Macaca mulatta: one gene and its partner. The protein of the gene in region 1 purifies or fractionates together with the protein of each later gene. This does not show direct contact. Links are inferred from orthologs where the notes say so. Each region holds a gene or a part of one and is shown on either strand. Other genes may lie near its edges.

The links. The genes of interacting proteins can lie anywhere in the genome.
Region 2: the proteins of CBX5 (region 1) and SENP7 purify together in Homo sapiens (affinity purification with mass spectrometry; 3 studies listed by BioGRID and IntAct, with this or other methods). This does not show direct contact. The link is inferred for Macaca mulatta from reciprocal best matches to the Homo sapiens genes CBX5 and SENP7.

What each region holds. Positions count from the first base shown.
Region 1 is NC_133416.1:61,432,348-61,435,999, forward strand, and holds part of CBX5 (chromobox protein homolog 5), read right to left. Parts: intron 294-3,652; coding exon 193-293; intron 1-192. UniProt on the Homo sapiens protein: Component of heterochromatin that recognizes and binds histone H3 tails methylated at 'Lys-9' (H3K9me), leading to epigenetic repression. In contrast, it is excluded from chromatin when 'Tyr-41' of histone H3 is phosphorylated (H3Y41ph).
Region 2 is NC_133407.1:182,228,028-182,231,679, reverse strand, and holds part of SENP7 (sentrin-specific protease 7), read right to left. Parts: intron 3,456-3,652; coding exon 3,116-3,455; intron 1,709-3,115; coding exon 1,551-1,708; intron 1-1,550. UniProt on the Homo sapiens protein: Protease that acts as a positive regulator of the cGAS-STING pathway by catalyzing desumoylation of CGAS. Desumoylation of CGAS promotes DNA-binding activity of CGAS, subsequent oligomerization and activation.

The sequences.
Region 1 (3,652 bases):
GAGCTGAGTGAGATTGCGCCACTGCACTCCAGCCTGGGCAACAAAGAGCGAAACACTGTTTCAAAAAAAAAAAATCTCTGACATTGAAAATTCATGGTTTGGGAATACACAATCTTGCCACCCTATCTTCCGCACAAATTCAAGTCACTGGCAAAGAAACACAATTGTAACATGAAGCCAAATCTCTCTCACCATTTCATTAGGAACATTAAATCACCACAGGAATCTGTTGCCCCAATGATCTTTTCTGGTTCCAGTCCTCTCTCAAAGCCCCGAGCGATATCATTGCTCTGCTATAAATAGAAGACGAAGAAAGGTTACAGCTTGTGGAAAGAGTAAAGAAACTCCCTGTTTCTAGGCTCAACAAAACACAACCTAAGTTAATATCTCCTGATATCATTTCTGTCACCAATTCAGAAAAATTTTTAGAACTTAATACTAAGTACTGACAGTGACAATGAAGTGACAGTGATGCCAAGAGATATTTTTGTAAGATGTGATTATCGGCCAGGCACGGTAGCTCAAGCCTGTAATCCCAGCACTTTGGGAGGCCGAGACGGGCAGATCACGAGGTCAGGAGATCGAAACCATCCTGGCTAACACAGTGAAACTCCGTCTCTACTAAAAAATACAAAAAACTAGCCGGGCGAGATGGCGGACGCCTGTAGTCCCAGCTACTCGGGAGGCTGAGGCAGGAGAATGGTGTGAACCCGGGAGGTGGAGCTTGCAGTGAGCTGAGATCCGGTCACTGCACTCCAGCCTGGGCGACATAGCAAGACTCCGTCTCAAAAAAAAAAAAGATGTGATTATCTTTCCTGGAATTCCTCCAGAAGATTGGAGGTGAACCCTAAAAGTCTCTAATGTCCTATAAGATATTCTGGAGTCAGCCAGGCATGGTGGCTCACGCTTGTAATCCCAGCACTTTGGGAGGCCGAGGCGGGCGGATCACAAGCTCAGGAGTTCAAAACCAGCCTGGCCAACACGGTGAAACCCCATCTCTACTAAAAATACAAAAACATAGCCAGGCGTGGTGGCAGGTGCCTGTAACCCCAATTACTCGAGAGACTAAGGCAGGAGAATTGCTTGAACCTGGGATGCGGAGATTGCAGTGAGCAGAGATCGCACCACAGAATTTCAGCCTAGGCAACACAGCAAGACTCCGTCTCAAAAAAAAAAAAGATACTCTGGAGTCAACATCTAGGAATTCCTCTAATCCCACTCACTTGGAATCTCCTTAATATTGTAAATAAGCTTCTGAAATGTTAAAGAATACCCTGTTTACCCTAACTATATCTTTTCATCTTATGAACTTCAAATATACTACCTCTCTCTCAATCTTTATTTTTTTAGACTTTTAGTTTACCTTAACACTAACCAATAATTTTAACACATTTCACAGTCGCCTATATTTATGAAAGAATAGAGATAAGAATTATGCAAGGCCAATACTATTAAATAGCAAAATTTCAGAGATCACAAACACCAATACTTATATGCTTGGTTGGACAGAAGGCCCTGGGTCAATGCCTATCCCCTCTGGATGTAGATGATTGCTAGCATTAGAAGGCAGAACTGGACTGTGATTGAAAACAAAAACAAAAAAGAAAACAAAAACAAAAAACTGGCTTGGTGCAGTGACTCATGCCTGTAATCCCATCACTTTGGGAGGCTGAGACAGGAGGAGACTGGAAGTTGGAGACCAGCATAGGCAACTGTCTCTGTAAATTAGCTGGGCACAGTGGTGCACACCTGAAGTGTGCTACTCCAACTCAGGAGGCTGAGGCCCAGGGCCCAGGAGTTCGAGGCTGCAGTGAGCTATGATCATGCCACTGTGCTCCATGGTGGGCAACATAGTGAGAACCTGTCTCTTAAGACAGAAAGAAGAAAATTTGATAATTGATGAGATGAGTACTGAAACTTGGTCTAAATGCAGTAATACAATCTAGACAAGGAGCACAGGTTCTAATCCAGGTGTAATAATACTGATGAGAGCCAAAAAGCAAAATTTTATACAAGCCAGGTAATTTTTTTTTTTTTTTTGAGACAGTCTCCCTCTGTTGCCCAGGCTAAAGTGCAGTGGCGCAATCTCGGCTCACTGCAGCCTCCGCCTGCCAGGTTCAAGTGATTCTCCTGCCTCAGCTTCCCGAGTAGTTGGGATTACAGGTGCATGCCACTGCACCTGGCTAATTTTTCCATTTTTAGTAGAGATGGGGGTCTCACCTTGTTGGCCAGGCTGGTCTCAAACTCCTGGCCTCAGGTGATCCATCCCACCTCGGCCTCCCAAAAGTGCTGAGATTACAGGCGGGAGCCATCACACCCAGTTACGCCTGACTAATTTTTGTATTTTCAACATGGTTTCACCATGTTGACCACACTGGTCTCGAACTCCTGGCCTCAAGTGACCCACATGCCTCAGCCTCCCAAAGTGCTGGGATTACAGGTGTGAGCCACCACACCCGGCCTAAACTAGAGAATTTTTAAAAACTTTATTATGGAAGATAATGTTAGCCTCTCCAGTGACAACACAAAAAAAAGATTTAGAGGTGCCCAAATGAACTAAATATCTACTGCCTGATTTTCATAATAAAATCTCTTTGATCTTATGTTCACTTGCTTTCCTCTGAGACATACAAAGCATTTGGGGTCCGGGTGGTCCCCAAAGATACCAAAATCCACAATTGGAAGGAAATTCCATGCATGGATCAATGAGAGATACTGACTTTTAAAAACATAGCCTCTTTTAGGGGCGCTTACGGGGAAGAAGTTCCCAGATGTTCACACAGCTGCTCACAGCTGGAATGCTGGCACATGGACTAAGTTGTAAATCATAACTGGCAACTGAAAATAGTTTGCTACATAGGGAGGGAAGGGGAGGCAAATGGAAGAAAAATGTTCAAGTTGCTGAAAAGGAGCCGGGGCGAAGAAAATGCTAAAATCATCATACAGGCAGTAATCTTAAATCAGGCATAATGCAAACTAACAAATTTCTTCTCCAGGGGTCTTAAAAAAGATACACAATCCCCTCCTGTACCTTTAAAACATACAATCACCTATCATCTCAGCTGTCTACCTGACAGCAGCCAGTACTGCTAAGAATGCTATCAGGGGCCCCAGATGAACATTATGATGTAAGGGACATGTGGGGGTTGTTTTCAAGGTTGGCAGCTTCAGAACCTGGCCTAAGAACAAAAACTCTCTGCACTGGCCAGTGCTTCTAAGCCAGATTATTCAGACAGCTCCTTTTTAAAAATGACAGAGGCCAGGCGTGGTGGCTCACGCCTGTAATCACAGCACTTTGGGAGGCCGAGGCAGTTGGATCACCAGGTCAGGAGATTGAGACCATTCTGGCTAACATGGTGAAACCCTGTCTGTACTAAAAATACAAAAAATTAGCCAGGTGTGGTGGCATGTGCCTGTAGTCCCAGCTACTAGGAAGGCTGAAGCAGGAGAATCGCTTGAACCCAGGAGGCAGAGGTTGCAGTGAGATCGTGCCACTGCACTCCAGGCTGGGTGACAAAGCAAGACTCTGTCTTAAAAAAAAAAAAAAAATTCTAATTTTACTGGTCTGGGGTGCATCTTAGGCACTAGAAATTTTTTCAACGTACCCCCCAGGTGATTATAATGTGTAGACAGGGTTAGGAACTAATGTTCT
Region 2 (3,652 bases), on another chromosome or scaffold:
TGGGCTTTTTTAGTGATCAAATGAGAAGTTGGTATAGAAATAATTTCTCACTGGGCTTCACATTTGGTAAAAACTAGGTGGCTCCTAAAAATGACCAATCCATACTTCTCATCATTCATTTAAAACTGGAACAAGAGAGAGCACAGAAATGTGGCATTCTGCCTTATGGTAGATCTCCACAGTATTGGCTGCTTGGTTGTGATTATGAATTTAGTAAATTCTAAAAGATATGTTATTTTCTTATAATATGATCATTTCATACTGCATTGTCAATTTATACCCTGCCAAGGCCTAATTCTTCTATAAGTTTAAATTCATTATCAACAATGACACTTTTAATTATACATGCAACTAAACCATCAAGTAGGATATTGACTCAATCTGGCAAAAATGGTTACATTTTTGCAAAACTTCAGAACAAAGCTGCTGAAGTGATTTCTACGTGGAATACCAAATACAAAAGCAAATACCCATGAAACAATAATCAGACCAAACTGTTTTCATAGATCGGGCCAACTCTTCATCATACTCTGCAAAATAACAGCCTCTGACATTATTCAAAAACAAAACAAGATAAGTTTACCATAATTCTGCACTGGTGGTCAATGATCTTTTCTTACAAATAGAATAATCAGAGGCTAATAACAAGAAAGAGTACCAGCTGGGAGCAGTAGCTCACACATGTGATCCTGGCACTTTGGGGGGTGGAGGTAGGAGGAATGCTTGAGCCCAGTAGTTAACAGACCAGCCTGGACAACACAGGGAGACCCTCATCTCTAAAAACAATATATATTTTAAAAACATTATCCAGGCATGCTGGCACGAGCCTATGGTCCCAGCTATTTGAGAAGCTGAATGAGAGGACTGCTTGAGCCCAAGAGGTTGAGGCTGCAGTGAGCCATGATCATGCCACTGCACTCCAGCCTGGGTGACAGAAAAGACCCTGTCTCAAAAAGAAAGAAAGAAAGAACAAATACTGACAAAAAATGTTTTGAACCTTATTTTAGACCTACTCTCTTCAAAGGACTGACTTAATTGACTGATACTAAACTAACACACTTCCATTTACTATTTTCTATAAGAATGAAGAGGCAGAGGACTTACCAAATTTGACAGGTTTCTGACCTATATCCCCAAAGCCATGTTCTTTCCTCTATATCATACTGCCTTCGTAATATGTGAGGAAAAGGAGTAATTCCAAGTAGCCATAATACTCCAAGACCAGACATATAAATACTAGAAAATGTTTTTAATTCTACAAAATGTTAGTGAAATGTCCAATGAAAGCCAGAAAAAAAGAAAAATATTCAAGTAATAGAATATTTAGACTGAAAAAATATAAATCACCAGAAAAAAATGGTATAATCTTTTCATTTCAAAATAAAGACAACTACATATTTCATTCAAACTGCTATAAAAGTTGTCTCAAAATTCAAACTAAGAAAATTTCTAATTTTCATTACAATATTCAGCTTGATAAAACAAGTAACAGTCATTAACCAATAGTGTATATTTCACTGTTAATCTGGGAGAAGACAGAAATAAATTACCTGTACAGATTCACGTGAAATCAACGGTAGTTCTGACAATGCTGATTCAGAAGTACTCTCATTTTCATTAGTTGTCTCATGGTCTTGCTTAGATTGTAACTTAAGAATTTCTGAACTTTTATGCTCAACAGGTCCTTCTTCATCACTGGAAACAACAACTAAAAGGAAAAGAAAAATGTATTTTTATTCTTTTTTTTTTTGAGACACAGTCTTCCCATCTTGGCTCACTGCAACCTCTGCCTCCCCGGCTCAGGCAATTCTCCTGCCTCAGCCTCCTGAGTAGCTGGAATTACAGGTATCCACCACCACACCCAGCGAATTTTTGTGTTTTTAGTAGAGGCGGGGTTTCAGCATGTTTGTCAGACTGGTCTCAAACTCCTGACCTCAGGTGATCCTCCTGCCTCAGCCTCCCAAAGTCCTGGGATTATAGGAATGGGTCACTGCGCCCAGCCGAAAAATGTATTTCAAATGTGTAACAATCACATATCAAAAAAAGAACTTTCGGTTGGGTGCAGTGGCTCACTCCTATAATCCCAGCACTTTGGGAGGCTGAGGTGGGTGGATTCCCTGAGGTCAGGAGTTCAAGATCAGCCTGGCCAATATGGTGAAACCCTGTCTCTAGCAAAAATACAAAAATTAGCCAGGCGTGGTGGTGCATTCCTGTAATCCCAGCTACTCAGGAGGCTGATGAAGGAGAATTACATGAGCCCAGGAAGGGGAGGCTGCAGTGAGCCGAAATCGCACCACTGCACTCTAGCCTAGCTCACAGAGCGAGACTCTGTCTCAAAAAAAAAAGAACTTTGTAATTATTGCAATTTATTTTTAATAATCCTGTTAAACTTAATCACCTAAATTTATTCAATTTAGAAACAGGCCTATCATTTGTTATCTGATTTACAGTAGTTATAGACAATGACTCCGTATCAGTGCAATTATTCAGCAGTTACCTGCACCCTTACCTTCTAAAGAATAAAGATGTTTAAAAATGGATAAAGCCATGAGGAAGCCTTATGAACAAATGCTAGTTCTCACAGTGTATTGTGCCATCACTCTAAATTGTACCTTAAGTCCTGTTACATGAATTGCTTCAAGGAATGGGAAATTAATAACTAGGGGAAGATGTGGGAGACTATTCGCTGGAGATCCTTTAAAACCTTTGGAATTTCTTTGTACCATGTGACGGCATCAACTACTCAGAAGCTGATTAAATCAAAATTAATGATAATAATTAGATAGCACTTAAATTCTGCATACTTCATCAACCAAATGACATTAATGATGGTCCTTAAAGAATCTATTTTAAAACTACTGAGTGAGATTACTGTGTACGAATCTAAGAAAAAATTACTTCTGTTTTCAAGTCCTCCATTAGTTTACCTAAACCAATATTTTAAAACTCATGAAGGAAACTCCAAACCCCAAGCCTTTTTTCCCTAAAGTTAATATATTCCACAATGATGTCATAAACAGCTTATGGCCTTAGCCAAATTTGTTCAAGAGGAAGAAAAAAACAACTAAGTGAAGCAGAGGAAATTAAGTAACTTTATAATCCTCCTGTCACTTACTTGGTTCAGCTGAGATCAATGATTGGTTCCCTTCATTATGTCCTCTTAGAATAGGCTTTTCTATTGTATTCAACTCATTCTCATCGTTCTCAACCAGGGACGAAATCCCCACAGTATCAATGGAATTAGAGTTCCCAACAGTTTCAGTGGTTGAACAGGCAGAGGCACTTTTGGTGGTGTTACTCAAAGTCAACTCCTGACTGTTAAGTGAGGATGGTTTAGTAAAATCACTTTTTGTAGGTTTAGTTGTAATTTCTTCAGGCAGTTTTAGATCCTGATGACAGTTTTCACTTGACTTTTCAAACTCAGTGGATATTGTTGAGTCATCTTCTTGTTTTTTCTAAACATAAACACATAGAAAAAAATAGTATTTTTCAAATTTGGCTTGCTTAAACCATTTTTAAATTTCTAAAAAAAAGTAAAAATATTGTTATCACTTCTGTAACTACATGGATAGAAAACTAAACAATTATACCACATTATACTTGCCAATGTCTCCCAAGTATAAAGATATGGGGTTTGATCTGTCCAATCGGA